Linked DNA regions of Danio rerio. The protein of the gene in region 2 interacts with the protein of the main gene of each other region in a pairwise test. Links are inferred from orthologs where the notes say so. Each region holds a gene or a part of one and is shown on either strand. Other genes may lie near its edges. The genes, in order: wwp2, arrdc1b and itcha.

Region 1 (6,708 bases), on a different chromosome or scaffold from region 2:
ATGATTGTTTTGTTGATTTCCAACACTAACTGTATTGCACCCAAAACCTGCCGGAAGCACTTTAGCTGTGTGTTTATTTGAAAATAACCGCACACCTCAGAATGCTCATTAGCCAATGAGAATCAAGCATTCAAAATCCCTGGAGTATATGTTATATTTAAGTCTTAAAACTTCGTGTTCCCTCAATGTTCTCTTTCTCACTGAAGTTGTTTTGATTGAAGTGTTCATCGTCTTCTCCTCATCTGCTAGTGTTGTCTGCGAAGCCTCAGTCTCCTAAACTGCCCAATCGTCACTCTCGCCTGAGTTCATTTGTGGAAGTGACCGCCGACGGCCTGAGCAGCGAGACCAAGAAAACGGGCAAACGCAGCGGACACCTCGAGCTGCAGTGGAATGAAGACCTCACACTGTAAGCCTTCACGCGTCACTTTTCATTGAAGAATATAATATTTAAGAAGTGCCATGAAAACTGATTAATTCATCATCATGATGATCATTTTAATAACTCATTTCTAATAATGGATTTATTTTATCTTTGCCATGATGAGAGTAATTAATATTTGACTAGATATTTTTCAAGACACTTCTATACAGCTTAAAGTGACATTTAAAGGCTTAACTAGGTTAATTAGGGTAACTAGGCGAGTTTGGGTAATTTGGAAAATTATTGTATAACGATGGTTTGTTCTGTAGACTATCACGAAAAAAATTAGCTTAAAAGGGCTAATTTTGTTCCTAAAATGGTGTTTAAAAAAAATTAAAACTGGATTTATTCTAGCCGAAATAAAACATAAGACTTTCTCCAGAAGAAAAAATATTATTAGACATACTGTGAAAATTTCCTTGCTCTGTTAAACAACATTCAGGAAAATATTTTAAAAAAGAAGAGAAAAATTTGAAGGGGGTGAATAGTACTGACTTCAACTATATTATAAAAACTCTCCCTTTACCATTTAACTTGCTCAGGTTACTAGCGCATCCTCGTCTTAATTGACCAACTTAGTCCTTATACGTAACTTACGTGTGTGTGTGTGTATATATATTTTTTTCCTAACGTGTGTGTGTGTGTGTGTGTGTGTGTGTGTGTGTGTGTGTGTGTGTGTGTGTGTGTGTGTGTGTGTGTGTGTGTGTGTGTGGTGCAGGAACGTGACTCCTCAGAGTCGTCTGGATCTGAAGGTGTGGAGTTGTCACACTTTGAGGAAGGAGCTTCTGGGCAGCGCCACCATCGACTTGTTGGACACTCTACGAACACATGATGGCAAGAGTGAGTTTAAACCCACACAAACACACACGGATACTCACTCTCACATGCACTGACACACGCTTGCACACTAACTCTCACAGACAAGCACAGATGCAGAGATCTGTTTGTTGGTTTAGAGCAGGGGTCACCAATCCTGGTCCTGGAGGGCCGGTGTCCCTGCAGGGTTTTGCTCCAACTTGCCTCAACACACCTGCCTGGGTGTTTCAAGTATACCAAGTAAGAGCTTGATTAGCTCGTTCAGGTGTGTTTGATTAGGGTTGGAGCAAAAATCTGCAGGACACCGGCCCTCCAGGAACAAGTTTGGTGACCACTGTTTTAGAGAAATAATGACAGATTATGGCAGAGTTTACGCTGCAGGGTTTAAGTGACTTAATTCAGATTTTTTTTTTTCTGCATGTGGCACAGATCGGATATGAGAGCGAGAGCACTATCCACCACATAACCAATGTAAACTGATAAAACTATTGCATGCATCACGTGCACATATTACGCCATGGACATGACATTAAGATGCCTACTCGTTTAAAAAGGCCTAGATTAAAAGAAGATGGCCAAATCTTTTCTGTCAAACTATTGGAAAGCAACTTGTCAAAAATAATAATAAATAAATGAAACTCTGCAAACAGATTAAATAAAAGAATAGAGAAAAGAGCGCTTTTTCATTATCAGCTGTCAGTCAGCGTCCGAATTTTTTTTAATTATTTTTTTTTTTGCGCAGTGTAAATGCAGAGAACCGTTCAGGAGTCACTTCTAAAAGATGATGTGAGCAGAAATGAAAAAAAAATCACATACAGTCACAATCGTATTGACCATCAAGATCTGCAGTGTAAGTGCAGCCAATGTAATGAGTGAACCTTTTTTTTTTTTTTTTTTTTTTCCCCACTTGATTTAAAGGCCTCTCGAGGTGCGTGAGGAGCAACTTCACTAATATCTGAGAACACTGACCCTGATGCTCTTTATTAAATAGATTGATTTGTTTTAAGTTCTGGGAATAACGGTCTGTTGTGCAGGTTTGGTGTGTAATTAATACTGGAGTGTTCTGATATGATCCGGAAGGGTTTAGCAGATCACTCCGCGCGGTTAGGCCCAGAGTTTTTTTGGGGGTAAAGTGGGTAAAGATGTTTCTGAGTCAGTTTTGTGCTTGCAGAAAAGCAGAGAAATGCTGCGTGATGGCGTTTTTAAGACTGTCAGCCTTATTTCCTTAGTTTGGGCTTTTTCTGTTTATTGGCTTATTTATTTTATTTGTTTTGTTTGGTGTGTTTTGGTCAAAGAAAAGAAATCACCACTTTAATGTTTGCAAACTTTTATAGCTATAAAACCAACAATCCATCTATAAAAACACTGTTAACAAAAGTAATATTGTTAGTATTGTTCAGTTCAATTCAGCTTTATTTGTATATTGCTTTTACAATGTAGATTGTGTCAAAGCAGCTTCACATAAATGGTCATAGTAACTGGATCAGGGTAGTTCAGTTTTTAGTGTTTAAGTTCAGTTTTAAGTTCAGGTTAGCTCAGTTCAGTGTGGTTTGAAATCATTACTGAGTCCATACACTGAAGGGTAAATTCATTGAGTAGCTTTTCAGATCCTGAACCATGCAAGCCAGTGGCGACAGCGACTTATCATCCTTACAATAACATTTGTTTCAAAGTTCTCCCTGTATTTATGCATTTATGTTTGTTGTGAATAAATTTTAGTTTATACTTTTTAAAACTTATGGTAATAAAAAAAAAAAAAACCACACACACACACACACACACACACACATCCAAGAGCAAACATTCCCAATAAATTCCAAAAAGTATTACTTTTTTTGGTCGTTTAGTTTTTTGAAACAAGTAGTAACACATATTTAATATTTTGAGAGATTTACAGTAAGAATAGTGATTTGAAATACTGAGAATAAAGCACTATAATAAGTTCTACGAATATTTCAACAATGCTCTGATTAAAATAAAGCATTATTTTGGAATTTTCTCTCAGCTTCAAAATGTCCTTTTTTTTTTTTTTTTTTTTAAATAGTTTTTGAAACTAAAACATATATATTTATTATACATTTTATATATAAAACTATGTTTTGACACTATTTAAAATGTGGCTTAAATTTCAATTTTTTTAATAGGGCATGTAAATTATCCACTGCCCATTACAAAGAAAAATGTTAAAGTTTTGTTCTGCAAGTCTTAAAAGGTCTTAAAGTCTTTGTGAAACCTGCAGAAAGCCTGATATAGAAAGCACTTTGAATTAATGCGTGGCTTTTTTTTTTAAGGTTTCAAATGGGTTATGTGATTTTTTTTAAATGTCAAAATATCCAGGAAATGATATTCCAGCTGTACACTTATTTCTGTTCTGATGAAAGCTCATACTTTTCTCTGACGTGTTCCTACTGAAATGTATTTAAAGTTTGATCATATTTGAAATCATGAAAAGCTTCATCAAATGGGTCCACAAATAAAAAATCTTTAATCTTTTATAATGTTCAGCAAATTGAGTTTTGCTATGAAAAATGTTTTTGTTGCTAAAGCACCTGTGATGTTAACATTAAAATAGAACCTGTGAAAACAAATGACAAATCAGAGACTAAAAACAAAAACGAAACAACAGTATATTTAACAGTCAAGATTTAAGCTTTCCTTTATTGCAAATTAGGATTCAGTGTGTGTATGCACGAGCGTGCATGAGTGCGTGTGTGCATTCATGTGCGTGCATTGGAGTGTTTGTGCACTTGTTCATTGCGTTCGTGTGTGCAAGTGCTTGTTCGTGCGTGTGCATGTCTTCATGCATGTACATTCGTGTGTGTGCGTGTTCGTGCATGTTTGGGTGTGCATTTGCGCAAGTGTGTGTTTGTGCACGCATGCATACGTGCATGTTTGTACATGTTTATGCATGGGCGTGCATGTGTGAGCGTATGCGTTTGTGCATGTTAGTGTGTGTGTGCGCATTGATGTTTGAGTGAGCACAAGCGTATGAGCATTTACGTGTGTGCGTACATGCATTTGCATGTGTGCGCATGTGCATACATGTTCATGTATGCGTGCGTGTGCATACATGTTCAAGCGAGTGTGTGTGCATGCATGTGTTTATAAGCACATCACTAATGTTTTTATTGGTCTACCTTTTTTTTTTTTTAATGACAGGCATCAATGTATTGTTCTGCTAGTGCTAAACAATTAGTTTCATCGCCTAATTCACATAATACCCCCCCTCTCTTCTCTCTCTCTCTCTCTCTCTCTCTCTCTCTCTCTCTCTCTCTCTCTCTCTCTCTCTCTCTCTCTCTCTCTCTCTCTCTCTCTCTCAGTGGAGAACGTTCAGCTCAGTCTGGTTCTGCAGACGGAGAACAAAGGCTCGGTTGTAGCAGGCGGTGAGCTCAACGTCTGTCTGGACGGCCTGGTTGTTGATCTGGGATCTTTGCCCAATGGCAGCGCCGCCTCAGACAGTGAGTCCCCTTCACTGGCACACACACATGCACACTTCATAGGGAACACTGCTAGAACACACAGAACAAACGCATGAACAAGCGCACATTGATGAGGCTGTGCTGGACAGAGCGGGTTTGAGCCTCACAGAGAGCTTTTCTCCTGTGTGTGTGTGTGTGTTCAGATTTTCTCCTGCAGGTCACAGGGTTTATTGACAACCACAAACTCAATCTGTTCACACACTCGCTCGGGGTGGAGAGGAAGTCGTTCTCTTACTTTCTTACTGGAGGAGAAAAAGACACCGTTTACTTTACAGTCCAAAAAGTGTGGTGGAGTTATGATTAAAACAAAAGTGTGTTTGAAAGTTTAAAATAGTGCTTATTTTAAAATGTTGTTCCTGTACAAAGCTGCCTTATATTTTAATAATTGTTTTAGTTATGACTTAAGACCATTTCAAATGGATTACCTTTAAACCTTTAAATTTTTTTTTTAACCGATTTAAAATGATTTTGGTTTAAAAACCTTGAAATATGGTGATGTCAGGGTACACAAAGTATTTTAGCTGCTTGGTTAAACCACTTGTTTAAAATGAGCTCAAACACAATTATTGAGTTTTTAGAGTCAACTTGTTTTTGTTAAACTTAAAATTTAAAAAAAACATTAAGTTAATTTGATCAATTTGCATTGAGACAAGATTGAACCCAAGGAATTGTTGAACCCAATGTATTACAGCAAAGAAAGAAAGAGAACGAAAGAAATTAAGGTATGATTTGGAGTCCAAAAAGTGTGGGATAATTATGGTTAAAGTGTTTAAAAGAGGTCTTGTAGAGCATAAGCAGTGATTTATTTTAAAATGTTGTTCCTGTATAAAGGAGCTGTCACTATATTAATTTTTTTTTATGTAGTGACCAAACATTTGTAATTGTAATTATATTTCACAATAGTAAGTCTTTACTGTACATTTAAACAGGTTTTAAAACTTAAAACTATTTAAAACATTTTCAAACACAAACCAATAAATTTTAAACCTTTTAAAACAGTTCAAATTTACAACCTTTTCTGTTAAAAAATCTAACTTAAAACCATAAATTAAAGACACATTTTATAAGCACTATAAAATTAAAACCCTTTCCTACTTGAAGTTTCAAATTAAAATCCATTGCAAATTTCAAATCTTTAAGTAAACATTTTTAAACAAACTTAAATGTTAAAAGTCTATTTAAACAGTGTCTTTTAGACCAGTCAAGGTTAATAAGTCTTTAAAAATGTCATTTAAGTAATCATTTCTCGAGCTGGGATTTGAACTCAGGATGCCCTGATGTGCTACTGTACAATATGTCGGCATGCTAATCTCTAGGCTATTGCACCGACTATTTGTCCACATTTATGCTGAATGTTAAAATGGTGAATCTTACTGATTGGATCAGAGCTGCTTAAAATTGTTTCAAGTTAAAATTAAAATAGTGCATTTTAAATGGTTTTAAGGTTTAACACTTTTACAATGGAAAGGACTTAAAAGTTCAAGCTACTTTAAATTTAGAATAGTTTAAAGGGTAAATCTTTTAGTTTAAAAAGTTTATTGATTGACACCACTTTAAGTATGATTTATTCTAAAAGTTGTATTACGTTAAAAGGTTTACAAATTTCAAAACATTTTAAACTTGAAACCTTTTTAAGAATTAATTGTTTTTACACCTAAAATCTGCCGAGAGATATTTTGACGATTTATACTTGATGTTAAAATGGTAAATTTTACAGTTTGGCTTAGAGCTGCTTAAAATTGTTTGAAATGGTTTCAAGAGTAATGGGTTTTGGTTGAAATGTTGTTAAGAGAATGTTTTGCTTTTTAAGGTTGTAAAGGTTTTAAATCGAAAGGACTTTAAGTTTTAGATTTAAGTTACTTTAAATTTACAATAGTTTTAAGGTTAAAAGTTTTAGGCCTATAAACACCATTTTAATTATGACTTTTTCTTTAATGTTTTAAGCTTAAAGGTTGTATTAATTAAAGTTTGAGATTTTAAATTGCTTTAAGT
Region 2 (7,162 bases):
TATCACAGACTCTTGCGATTAGCTAATCGGAATGTTTCAAATCGTGATTGCAATTCGATTTAGATTAATCGCACAGCCTTATTTCTTGCATTCATTTAGTGTCATGCGTGTTACCATGATGGTGTTTATTGTGTGAACGACATCATGTTAGTATGTTTCTCTGCTTGTGGAAAGGCTGTTTTAGATGAGCTGTTGTTCAATACGTGACTTTCTCAACACCACCTGCTTTTGGTGGTGTTTTTGTTAATGTATTACAAAGGTACACTGTGTAGATGTTAATACATGAAAATGTTGGTGTATTAACATTGTATAAGTTAATAAAATATGGTAGTTTACTGTGAAAGGGATAGTTCACTTAATAAAAGTCTATCATTACATCACAGGTTATTAGATTTCTTCACTTGTTATAGAAGAAAGAAACTCATAAAGGTTTGTAACCAACTGAGGGAGAGTAAATACATTTAAATTTTAGGTGAAACCTTTAATCAAAAACAAATTAAACAACACATTTCTAATGTTTTAGGGTGCACAACTTAATAGTTTTACGTTCAATCCACTTAAATTTGTAAAAAAAAAAAAAATTAAGTTAGTAAATAAACAATTCAGTTGTCATAAAGCTAGGCATGGGTACTGAAACTGTACTTTATCGGTACCGGTGCCGCATTATAAAAGAACAAAGTATCGATAAGCTCTGGCGTTAACGGTTCTGCTATATGTACTGGAGAATTATTGCTGAATAAGCATTAATTACAGGTGCATAATTTAACTGACCAACCTTATCTAATTTGCGATATTTGATATTCATCTACACAGTTGGCAATCTCACATGAGAAATGCTCGTGTTTCCGGCGAATGCGTCAAATATAAAAGCCTTTACAGTTCTTGGCTGTGCGTGCACTCAGTAGAGGCTCACGCTAAATGCACACACATGGCTCGCGACTTTCATAACACACTGCTTGTGCGCTTGCAAAGTGAACCAAATGGGTAATATTTCCTGAGTGGACAGCGACAATGCCCATTGCAACAAACGTAACAAGTTGTTTTCTTGTATAAGCGGAAACGCAAGCAATCTGGCTAAGTGGAAGTATCTTTCAAAACTGCAGAAAGACAAATGAATAGTTTTTGACTGCTAGCTACTAACAAGAACATTACATCATCCACATCGTTATGCCAGCAGTCAATCACCTAAATTGGTATAATATTAGCACTTTTAATAAACACACATTCGGTTACATTGAAAACAGTATTTTTTCTGCAGTAGCCTAAATAAATCTAAACATTAAAAATGCTTTTACATCAGCCGCATTTACAAATATAGCAAAAGAATAGCCTAATAATAAACTATGCTTAAGAAATTATAAAAAACAGCTTATTTTTTACATTGCAGGATGCTCCAAAACTGTATTTAAAACACAGTTAACTCCCAAAAAACGTTAACTAAATTAATTAGTTCATTCTGTTTATTTTTTTAAATAATTTTTTTACCAAAAGTACCGATAAGAGAACCGTTAAAGTAGAACGTGGTATCAATAAAAAAAGTAATACTGTTAAAACCCTAATGATACAAATCCATAAAACAATATAACATTTAAGTTGTTACCCCCCCCCCAAAAGAACTAAAGAATTGTGTTGGTTTAACTCACAGTTATTCAAAAAGTCGTATCTTAGCTAAACATCATCCTATCCTAACAAGCCATACATCGATGAAAATCACATTTATTCAGCTTTCATGTTTTCATGTCATGAACAAGTTTTAGTTTATGAGTTTCATTTTAAATCTCAAAAAACTGACACGACTGCTCTTAGGGTCTAAAGTAACATATGGAAGCAGCATATTTGGATGCAAAGAAAACGCCCTTCAAACCAACTAGCACTTTTCCTATGCACAATGGCTCCTGGAGGGAATGCCACAAATCCAAAGTAGATGCAGGTTTTCCACATTTGACTCAAGGTGAAGGCGCTCCGAGCCAATTCCTAAAGTACCAACATGGGAACGGCAGGAAGTCCTAATGAATTAAAGTGCCAACAGACAATGACTAATCACACCAGTCACATGACCTCATCATCTGGTGATGTCATCTTTCACGCATGCAACTGATAAACACTAGAGAGAACATAAACAATGCACCAATCCACATTGATGGACAATAAAAGGTGCTTTCTCATTGTTGACAGGAACAACTGAGAGAAACAGAAACATGACCACAGGAGATCGCCTATCGGTTTTTCATACAGTGTGTGTCACAAATAAGGGTGGGGTTCCTGAGTTGAGTGAAAATGCACAACAATTTCATGCAACACATTAGTCTCAAGTGTGAACACAAACAATAAGTGGAACGGCAAAAAGGAAAATGAGCTTACGGAGTTGTTTCATTGGAACATCTCTTATGTCTGTCTATTAAGTCTCGCCTACACTAAACCCAACAGTTCGATGAAAACTCTTACAATGCGTTCTTTGTGCATATTCACACTGTGTAAAAAGCACCTTGTCTAACCTACTTTCTTATCTCTTTCCCCAATGACAAGCGGTATGCAAAAATTTGGTTAGCGGAGGGTGCGGAGGGTTTGGGGCTGCCAGAAGTTAAGATGTCTTCACAATTATGGCTTTTCTTTTAGATGTTTTGACAACTGACATGGTAATCAGTCTAGAGTAAAGTGTCTGTGTATGCATGTCTGTAACTGTAGTTATACACTTGCATTGATATTTATCTGCAACATGATGATAAACTCATATAATACAACAATATGAGGGACTTAGACAGCACATCATTAAAATCCATCAGTTTAAAAAGCTGTAATATTGATTTGACACGTAACAGCACAAATACACACTCATGAGAAAGGTTATGCCTTTTTTAGGGATTCACATTTTGCTAGTTTTTACTAATGGAGGCTGTGCAGTGTGGCATTTAAAAAATACTAATATTTCTATTTATAAAAAACTAAATGTCATTTTATAAATTCTTAAAAATATTTTTTGTAAATATTACAAATATTATTCAAAAGGAAATGTTCAGATTTTGTTTAAAGATGACCAGGGAATTCATTTGTACTAAGTAATTGTACATCAATGTATGCTGACAAAGACAATTATTATGGCGACATGAGAACTTTTGCGATATTCCAATTCCATATCGCAATTCGTAACCTTTTAATTTAGTATGATTTGCTCATCCCCCAACGACGGTTTGGTTATGGGGTGGGGTGCATTAAAACTGGGGTGCATTGCGGCTGGAAGAGTATCCGGTGTGTTAAAACTTGCTGGATAAGTTGGCGGTTCATTACGCTGTAGCGATCCTGGATTAATAAAGGGATTAAGCCGACAAGAAAATGAATGAATGAATAAATTCATCAATAAGAACAAATTTTGTTATTTCAAAAGGCTGTTTTTTTTTACTAACATGCACTAACATTTCTTAACCAAACTAAACAATATTTTATTTGTTTAGAACATGTCAAACCAAAACAATCTCACAGCAATTTGTAACTTTTTGATTTAGTGGCTAATTCGCATAAATTGTCATTCAAACAATTTAGTAAGATTTGCTTATCCCCAATGAAGATTGGTTTTAGGGGTGGGGTCTGGTGCCACGCTTGTTAAAATCGTACATTTTCCTATGAATGAACTTGAATTAGACACTAAACTGACAAAACCTAAAATAGCTACATTTCTTTGTGAGATCAGGCTGGATATTCTGTTCAAGCGACATGTTTTCTTAATGAAAAAATTGTTTACGTTTACTTTCTTTGTGAATTGATTTTGTGAGATTTTATTGCAAATCACATCCATGCTGAAATTGCTCAGAATAAGTGTTGATCTGACCATTTTTGTTTTCCAGAACATTCTCTGTTGGTTAGTCAAAGTGTTTTTCTAACATAAAATGTTCCCTTTAAATAAGAAGTTCTCTTTCTATTTTACAGTCTCTGTTACATAAAAACCTAAAAAGAACCTTCTCAGTTGTAGCTTTCCAGATAAATAACCAAATAACTTAACAAGAAACTGCGGACTTCAGAAATTTGTTTAAAAACTCCACCCTCTAATCGTGAAATTAGACATTTATGACAAACATTTATGACAAGTTCTTACATTTTAGCCTTACATTACACATTTATTTTCTTGAACGGGTTTTGTTCACTAAGACATAATTCATTTAACGTTTTGGAAGTACATTTTTGTGCTTATTAGCGGTCTATTACATAGTCTTTCCCTAAATTTTTGTCTAATGTTTTAGTACAATTGCGTTTAGCAAATGACCTCATGAGCGTCGCGTTTCTAAGCGCAAGCGTCGCGTCCTGGATACTTTTGCCTGTTAGTTCTGAATGTGCACTATTTTGAGGACGTTTAAAGAAGAAAACGAAGTGAAGACAGGCATCAAACCACACTTGTTGAAACGCGAACCACATACAGCGTGTTTCATGAACCAGAAACGACTCGGGTGTGATTGTGCAATCGGACCGAAACCAACAGCAGCACATGAGAAACAGGATGTACGCTCAGGTTAATAAGAAACAAGAATGAAGACGTCGATGCCCTCCGATAACACTGCTTAATCCCTCAAAATACACATTTATGAACAAGCACTGAAACAGAAGCGACGGATGCCGAATGTCAACATGCAAACATTCAACACGTTCATTCAGCGACACGACAATGTTGACAAGCATTGATTCAATACCGTTCATACGTGAACTGGGGAAACCCTGGAGCTTACCAACTGTGTAGTTAATGGAAATCATGTTCCTACTGTAAAAGACTGAAGATGTACGACTACAGAGCATCGCTTACCTTTAAACTGCAAGGAGTGGCTTGATTTAATTCTCACAGTTCCTGATATGGATTCACCGGGGTTGTAGACCACTTTGTTGTTAGTGAAAGTAATCTCGAATTCCTGAACCTTCCCCATGTCTTCCAGAAGCGCCTCTCACGCACTCGCGGAGGATGAGAAAAAAAAATCGACGGCTAAACTACGGGTGAAAGCAGCGTCCAGTTTGACGTCCCACCTGCGGCTCTCAAGACTCCGCCCATTTGCGAGCGCTGACGTCATCGGGATGTCAGTCATTCTGCTCTTTACGGTTGTTTCAAGTAATCGTGACATAATGTTTTCTTTCTTTCTTTTTCTTTCTTTCTTTCTTTCTTTCTTTCTTTCTTTCTTTCTTTCTTTCTTTCTTTCTCATTATTATAAAATAGATTAATGTTTTGTAGTTCAATAAAAGTTCATTACTAGGAGTTACTATTTATGTTTTAAATATTCTGAAACCATGTGTCTGCACATTTCTGCAAAATTTTATTTAAGGCCTAATTGTTACAGGCCTAACAAATTAATATATGAACATATCAAATGTGGAAAAATACTTACATTTATATCGTAGTGTAATCTTACAATCTGTATTTGTTCATTTGTTTATAATAGATATTTAATTTCTACTACTGATAAACATTAAGATTTTGTTTTATGCTTTAAATATCTTATTGTAAAAATATCTCCTATGTCAGTGTTAATCAGTGTTTAAAAACTGTTTATATATATATATATATATATATATATATATATATATATATATATATATATATATATATATATATATGTGTGTGTGTGTGTGTGTGTGTGTGTGTGTATGTGTATGTGTATGTGTGTGTGTGTGTGTGTGTGTGTTTATAAACAGTGCTTAGCAAACATGAATACACCCCCCACAAATCTTTAATTTAAATAAACATTTTCTATAGGATGCTTTATAATATTATATTTCTGCATATACATTAGTTTAGTCAGTACTGAAATGCCAAATCTGGAGCTAATCTAAAAAAAAAGTAACTTACAATAATAATTGAAAATTTGTAGCCCAAATGTATGTTAGAGAAGAAAAAAAATATATTTTTTTGTTAAAATGTTGTAGATTATAATTATTACTTTTGTTTGCAATATTTTGCATAAATTTAAATGTATTATCTTTCCATTTCTAAAGATGTTCTCTGACTATAATATTATTTTAATAAATGTATCTGTTTATAAATCTGTTTTGTTTAAATGCAGCTATATATTACCCATATTCACTGAGAAATTGACAAAAATATTCATTTTCAAAATGGAATGCACTCATATATGCTGAGCACTGTATATATATAATATAATACATATATAATCCATTATTTAAACTTTTTACCTTTTCCTCAAACATTTCACAATTTCACAGACCTGTTTTTTTTTTCTTTTCTTTTCTTTTTGCTCCACACTGTATTTTCTTCATAGCCAAGCAGGAAAATCATTAGGAATCTACAGCTCCATCTGTCTGGCGACACAAGCATTGATAAAACTGAACAGAAATCTCTTCTGCCATTGTTCTGAGAATAATAAATTCATCTCATGATGGGAACTGCACACCTCTTATCTGCTGAAACTGTGATGATTTCCTCTTGTTCTGAAAGGTCTGCTTGTGGTTCACATTCAGTTAAGCCTTAATGGAAAAACATTTCAGTTTTATTAAAGTCATTTATGCATGGGCTTTAAAAAAATATGTCAAATTGGTATTTTTAAACTAAACTTCTGTGTTAAAATGTTTTAAACAAGAGAAACAAAAAAAGTTTTTTAAAAAGTTTTTTTTTATTATTATTATTATTATTTTTTAAATATATATAAAGATGTAGTTATCTTACTGGAAAGTATTTTACAGATAAACTGAACTTTGCTTTATAAACCAAATCCAGTAATTACAAATACTTGCCTATGACGCCCCCTTATGGACAGCTAAATGAATAGCAATCAAACAAATGGGCGTTCGTAAACAACTTTAAAATAGTTTTATTGTAATCAAGAGTTATAGAGCCTGTAACCACTCCCATAGGTTTTCAGCTTTCTTCAAAATATTTTATCTTGGGTTCAACAGAAAAAAAATCATAAAGATTTATAACCCCTTGAGGGTAAAAAGAATTAATAGTGAGTATATTTTCATTTTTGGTGATCTAGCCCTTTAACACAATGTAACATTTTCCTCATCTGCACAAATCTAATTTTCACTCAAAATCTTTTGCGAGAGTCGAGGAGAGCACCTAGCCAAAATAATAAAGTTAATTCTGCTACTGCCTACACTGTAAAACCCAAAAAGTTAAGGTGACTCAATTCATTCGAGGAAACCGATTGCTACAAACCATTAAGTACAAAAAAAA
Region 3 (6,708 bases), on a different chromosome or scaffold from region 2:
TCAGCTGAACAAAAAAAAAAAAGGATACGTTTGAAGAATGTTGGAAACGAGTAACCATCGACTTCCATATTATTCATAGGACAGAAATTCATAAAAGTTTGGAATTGGTTGAGGGTAATACTGAGTAAATGTTCATTTTTGGGTGAACTATCCTTTAAAACTTTTATACGTATTATTTTATTCAACTGTGGTAATGCAATTAAACTTGAATTTTTCTCAAATCTCGCCTTGTCAACAACCTGACATGGAAGCAAAATATCTGCAAAAATAATTAGTTTGTTTAATACAATAAGTTTGTTTGTGTTTAATCTTACCAGATTCTATGAGAATATTTATGGTATAATTACTGTGCGTTCACACCGAAGGCAGTGAGTGTCAAAGGTTGCTCTGGCCGCCCTGGCGACAATGCTGTCTGCCTTCAGCTCCGGTGGGGAGAGCGTCAAAATTCGCTACATTGATCACGTATTTAAAGGGGCCGTTGCAGCATATCAGGTACATTCCCGCATAAAACATGCTTTCTAGCATTGCATACTTTTTATCAAATTCATTTAACAATGGAAGATCAAGTCGCATATGGTGTAGCTTTGCTCCACTTAATTATCCAATGTGTCCATTTGTCTGAAATATACTGAAGCAGCTATACTGTTTTGTATTATCGCATAAGATTTCTGCTTTTTTAAAGAAAAAAAACATATATAACATTAATGCACATCAGTAACTGGCCAGTAACTTTTTAATGTATGTTCCTGTAAGACAACATTGCAAATAACTGGAAATCCAGCAATGGCATTAATCAAACCCCTATGGTTAAACCCTTGGGAATAACTGTGTTCGGAACCAAAGTTCACAGTGACTGTGTTCTCTGGACTCCTTTCAAGCGGTGGACTTCTACATTCTGATTGCTTGCCACCGAACCATGTCATGGCTCATTACCATAAAGTTGACTTGGGAAGACGCGCTGCCCTGCTCCTCACCACTTATCGCAGGCGGCTCCCACTGAAAATGAATGACGTCCGGCTACTTTGACGCTCTCGCCGCTTTCAGTGTGAACATACAGTTTTTCATTCATTCATTTTTCTTTGACTTAGGGCCTACTCACACTATGCCATCCGTACCGTGCCCAGGCCCGTTTCCCGGATCGTTTGAGAAGTGTGAGTGCGCTGAATCGGGCTCAAGCACGGTTTACTTGGCCAGCCCTGGCCCGGTTGGAAGAGGTGTGCCTGAGCGCGGTACACTTGGGATTTGGCGCGATACGTTTGTAGTGTGAGTGCAAAACACGCCAAAGCCCGAAACTGAAAGCGATACGTGACTTTTAAGGGACTGTTTTATATGGATTTATTAATCATTCTTACTGTTCAGTGAACGCAAACTGCCGTAGTTTATTAAAGACGCAAACCCCTCACTGCACCACAGCTGCACCTTCAGCAGACCTCCTCATTCCTGCAGCACGAGGGCTTTATGATTGTTTATGAGTGCCAAAAGTGGCGGATCTGTCCGGTGAAATATCTGACTGCGTGTCACCGCATCCCTAAGGACTGTTTGGCGAAATATTTGACTGCATGTCAATGCATAACAAACGACTGAAACGATATAACTAGAAAAATCTCTACTGTGGTACTGGGTGAGAGTGTATGGCAAGCCATTTTAGCATTTAAACCTTGTTCTGACTATCCATAAATATATTTAGATATATCTCTAATTATATTTTGACTAGTCATAATTATAATTCGACTAGTCAGATTGGAGATATCTGCAAATATATTGTGACTGACTAGTCATATTCCTCCATTGACTTCCATTGAAAAATATTTGCAGATATCTCCAAATGAATTTTGACTAGTCAAAAATCCAATTCAAGATATCTACAACTGTAATTCGACTATTAGTAAATTAATTAGAGATATCTTCAAATATATTTGTAAATATCTCTAAATATGATGAATTAAAGATGTATTATGTACAAATATACATATATACAATATTATATACAAATGTATTATGACTAGTAAAAACTCAAAAAAAAATATCTCTAGTTACAATTGTTACTAGTCAAAATTCATTTGGAGATATCTGCAAATATTTTTCAATGGAAGTCAATGGAGGAATATGACTAGTCAGTCACAATATATTTGCAGATATCTCCAATCGGATTTCGTACTAGTACAATTGTAATGGCAGATATCTCATCAACTGTCATTCTGAGTAGTGGAATTATAATTATGACTAGTCAAAATATAATTAGAGATATCTCTAAATATATTTATGGAGTCAGAACAAAGATTTAAATGCTAAAAAGGCTTGCCATAGAGAGCGCTTCACTGAACAGAGCAGCAGCGATGACGTAAGCGTGCCAAGGCCCGATATGGTGTGAGCCCGGGCCGTCGGGGGAGACGGGAGGGGGGGACAAGCGTGCTTTGGCCCGGTTCGAGGCAACTGTACCTAGTGTGAGTACGGCCTTAGTCCCTTTATTGATCAGGGGTCGCCACAGCAGAATGAACGGCCAACTATTCCAGTATGTTTTACTGACCCAGCCGGGATTCGAACCAGCAGCCTTCTTGCTGTGAGGTGATGGTGCTAACCACTGGACCACCATGCCATCAATTATTAATACAATATAGTACTAATAATAGTACTAATAATAGTATTAGTATTAATTACTAATAATAGTATTAATTGTACAATTTAAATGAAGTTTTTGCTATTATTTTGCTTAAATAAAATAAATGCAATCTAATAAACATGTGCTAAACAGAAATGCTAGAAAACAAAACATAATATTTAACAACAAAAACAACAGAACTAATGAAAAATATTAAACTTGAAAAAATCTATTAAAATTTATTATAAATAATAATAAAATAATAATTGTATAGCATCTTATATAAAACATGAATTTAAAAGAGAGATTTGTGAGGGGTGAACTCATATATGCTGAGTATTGTTATAATACTGTATACAGTATTGCTAAATATATAGCAGAATTACAAAATATTGCGATGTCAGATTTTCCCAATATCATGCAGCCCTAATATAAGATTAGGAGTAATGCTTCTGGATCCACTCTGCGACTGATTCAGTATATTTGACTCTTACACAGTGAGAGACTGTTTCCATTTGGGACTGTGGGTGTTGGTGCATTTCTCCGTCTTCTTCGACTGTCCGTCCACAAACACCTCCACATAAGGACTGGGCCCAAACCAGTTCTTCTTATTCTCCCGCAGCTTAGCAGACAGAACTGAGAAAACACGACAAACAGAAGCACAGTTCAATTAAAGTAGTTCATTTGATGAGATTTGCAGTGGCTGTCCCCTGACTATGGAACAGTCTCCATTTACACGTTAAAAGGGCCTAAACACTTTTACATTACTATTTAGTCATTTAGAAGATGCTTTAAACTCACTTAACATTTACACTTTCTGTATTTAAGTCTAGCTTAGCTAAATCTAATCTGCGCTATAGTCTGCCGTTTAACACAGTGTAAAACACATTTTATTTTACTCATTATTTTTAATCCACTATATTATATTTCATAATGTTTTATTATTATTTTGAACTCATATTTGTGCAGCACTTTGGTGAACACCTGGTGTTTCCAAAAAAAAAAAGTGCTTTATAAATAAACTTTAATATGACAACTAAAACACAATTCATTCAACTTAGTTCCTTATTTATCAGGGGTCGCCGCAGCGGAATGAACCGTCAATTATTCTGGAATATGTTTGATGCAGCGGATGTTCTTCCAGCTGCAACCCAGTATTGGGAAACTCCCATAAACACTCACACACACATTTATACAATATGGCCAATTTAGTTAATCAATGTCCCTATAGTGCATGTGTTTGGACTGTGGGGGGAAACCGGAGCACCCGGAGGAGCCAACACAGGGAGAACATGCAAACTCAACACAGAAATAGCAACTGGCCCAGGCAGGACTGAAACCAGCAACCTTCTTGCTGTGAGGCCACAGTGCTAACCACGTCGATGCATTGCAATGATTCCACAAAAAAAAGACAGCCAACATATGTGAGGTCATCAGGTCATTTTGTTTAATAAATAAAACTCACCTGTTATCTGAAGTTGAGCCTTCATCTTGTGGCCATTAACAGCATTTGCAGCTCAAATCTAAAATGAAGAGATAAGCATAATATTGTTAATTTCTATATAAAAATGTTATGCTAAGAAAGAAGTAAGGTTGAAGGCTCCATTTATTAGTGAAATTCTTTCAAATATTGTCCATGTGATGTTTAACCGAGCAGAGATTTTTACAAATTTTCCTATATATTTTTCATCCTTTTTAGAAAGTCTTATTTCTTTTACCTTCTTTTCAAAAGTTACAAGGTCAATCCAGGGTTCAACGCTAAAGATTTTTTCTACTGGCCCGATCGGACCAGTGGTTCAGATTTTGACTTGTCCTGCCAATATTTTCACTGCCCCACCAAAAAAAAAAAAAAAAGCTATTTCTTAGCCTAGCCACAAATCAAAACAAAAAAATGTATACATTTTTGTAAATCTAGAATTTAAATATTTAAAAAATGTTAATAAATGTATAATGAGCAAAATTCAAAGGGTTTTGCAAACAAACGTAGCAAAATGTGCAGGTATTTTATTGCAAAACAAAAGATGCAAACTGTACAAAACATCACTTGATTTTTTTAGTCGTGGTTTACCCTCATTAATGTCTGCTTCCAAGATGTTAGAAACAAATGTTTTCCTGTGGCATCATCACTTGATGTTGACGCCATGTTGCTGTCTCTTCACTGTACTGGTTGTTATGAAAAAAATAACATGCTCACAACATCCAATCAGATAAGAGGAATAGAGAAGGTAGCATTTCAAGGCTTAAAAACACAAACTGTTTCTCGATTCTGACAGTTTTTGCACGCAATTGACAAATAGTCCCAGCCAAAATAAACTTTATAGTGACAGGGCATCAGTGGCCCGATCGGGCCAGTAATGATCCTGTCTACTGTCCTAAGCAACCGACATGCTGGCCCCGGGCCATCGGGCAGTCCTTATTGTTGAGCCCTGCAATTAAGCACATTGATCTACCTAATTACCCTCACTTGCTTAATTAACCTAGTTAAGCCTTTGTAAAATGCCACTATAAGGTAAATACTAGTACCCAACCAAAATAACTAGTAAAATATTATACTGTCATCAAGGCAAAGACAAATCAAATCAGAAAATAAATAATAAAAGAAATAAATAAAAGAAAAGAAATAAATAAAAGAAAATAAAATAAATCAAATTAGAAATTAGTTATTGAAACTATTATGTTTACAAATTAGTTTTAAAAAGCATATTACAATTAAACTGCACTTGTTAGAAATATTCTAAGTGAAGTTTATTTATAAACAAATTTCAAGAGGATCACGTGCTTATGATTGTTCACAGCTGTTCCAACTTTAGCTAATGACAGATTATCCAATCAGACGATCCTTAACCAGGGGCGGACTGGCCATCTGGCAATTCTGTCAAATGCTAGATGGGCCGGACCATTTTTTTAAATGTGGGCCGGTCAGTTTTTTTTTTTTTTATTATTTTTTTATATGTATTGTTTTTACATGCAGGCAGCTTTTATCTCGTGCAACATGTGAATATTATGATGACGTTGATGATGGTAATAATAGTAATAATAATAGTAAATGTTAAGCATTTGGCCCAATCGGTGACAGTTTCGAGAGGGGCCGACTCAATCAAAGGTTACGCGGACATAATCAAAATTTGGCAAGAATGTCAAACAAACAGTACGTATGATAATGTGGGCTGGTGTGGCTATAGTGCCAGGGCTGAATTTTTGTCCCAGTCCGTCCCTGTCCTTAACTCACTATAAATAACCAGACTTTTCTCAAATCAATATCTTCGTCTTGAAGAAACCCAACTACCCAACCCTACTTTCCCTCCTTTCAAACGGGCGTCACGGTGGCCAGCGATTAGCGCTGTTGCCTCACAGCAAGAATGCCCCTGGTTTAATTCCTTTCCAAACCAGACGGCATTTCTGTGCGGAGTTTGCTCGTTCTTCCCGTGGTCGCGTGGGTTTTCCCCGGGTCCTCCGGTTTCCTCCCACAGTTCAAAAACAAGCACTCTAAACAATTAATCCAAATACTTTAGCTAAACTCTGAGTACACCTTTCAGCATCCATATCTGACACTTAGCTACAACAAGCAAGAGGGGGAGTCATCGAGATCTACCTGAGCTCAAACTCCCCTCTCGCCTTGCAACGGGAGGGAGCCCAGGGCTCGAGGATCTTATAAGCTCAGGGCTCTCTCCCGGGACAGCACGCCAAACTAGCTTTACTATCAATCATCAGCTAAGTGTGAACTCTTGAAAAAGATTAGGAGGGTTAATCTTTTAGACTTGAACTTTAAATGTTGGAAAGAATTAAACAAGACATTTTACTTCTATAACATGGCACATCTACAAGCAAAAAGTATCACTTATTTTTGGCAAACCCTTAAAAAAACTCTTAATTCTACAGCTCAACATATAAACACGTGTCATCTGATCATTTCTGTATTCAGTTTAGTGATGGATGCATGTCTAAGCTACTGCACGTCTTCAACTCTTCCTTCCCCGTGGTAACAGCTAATCTCACAACAGAAGTCTCCAGTAATCCCTGCCAGATTAGAGATGATGTAATTTCAAGGGCAGACGTTTCTCTGCACTTCCCCGTCTCTCCACGGAGAGGAAGTGCTGAGAAACACACAC

The links.
Region 1: the proteins of arrdc1b (region 2) and wwp2 interact in binary tests that used the Homo sapiens proteins (3 or more experiments, as listed by UniProt). The link is inferred for Danio rerio from reciprocal best matches to the Homo sapiens genes ARRDC1 and WWP2.
Region 3: the proteins of arrdc1b (region 2) and itcha interact in binary tests that used the Homo sapiens proteins (3 or more experiments, as listed by UniProt). The link is inferred for Danio rerio from reciprocal best matches to the Homo sapiens genes ARRDC1 and ITCH.

What each region holds. Positions count from the first base shown.
Region 1 is NC_133200.1:37,283,776-37,290,483, forward strand, and holds part of wwp2 (NEDD4-like E3 ubiquitin-protein ligase WWP2), read left to right. Parts: intron 1-249; coding exon 250-406; intron 407-1,139; coding exon 1,140-1,261; intron 1,262-4,557; coding exon 4,558-4,695; intron 4,696-6,708. UniProt on the Homo sapiens protein: E3 ubiquitin-protein ligase which accepts ubiquitin from an E2 ubiquitin-conjugating enzyme in the form of a thioester and then directly transfers the ubiquitin to targeted substrates.
Region 2 is NC_133196.1:16,162,422-16,169,583, forward strand, and holds the start of arrdc1b (arrestin domain-containing protein 1b), read right to left. Parts: upstream 4,984-7,162; 5' UTR 4,905-4,983; coding exon 4,787-4,904; intron 1-4,786. UniProt on the Homo sapiens protein: Functions as an adapter recruiting ubiquitin-protein ligases to their specific substrates. Through an ubiquitination-dependent mechanism plays for instance a role in the incorporation of SLC11A2 into extracellular vesicles.
Region 3 is NC_133181.1:60,235,046-60,241,753, forward strand, and holds part of itcha (itchy E3 ubiquitin protein ligase a), read right to left. Parts: intron 4,123-6,708; 5' UTR 4,090-4,122; coding exon 4,065-4,089; intron 3,236-4,064; coding exon 3,094-3,235; intron 1,922-3,093; exon of another isoform or gene 1-1,921. UniProt on the Homo sapiens protein: Acts as an Acts as an E3 ubiquitin-protein ligase which accepts ubiquitin from an E2 ubiquitin-conjugating enzyme in the form of a thioester and then directly transfers the ubiquitin to targeted substrates.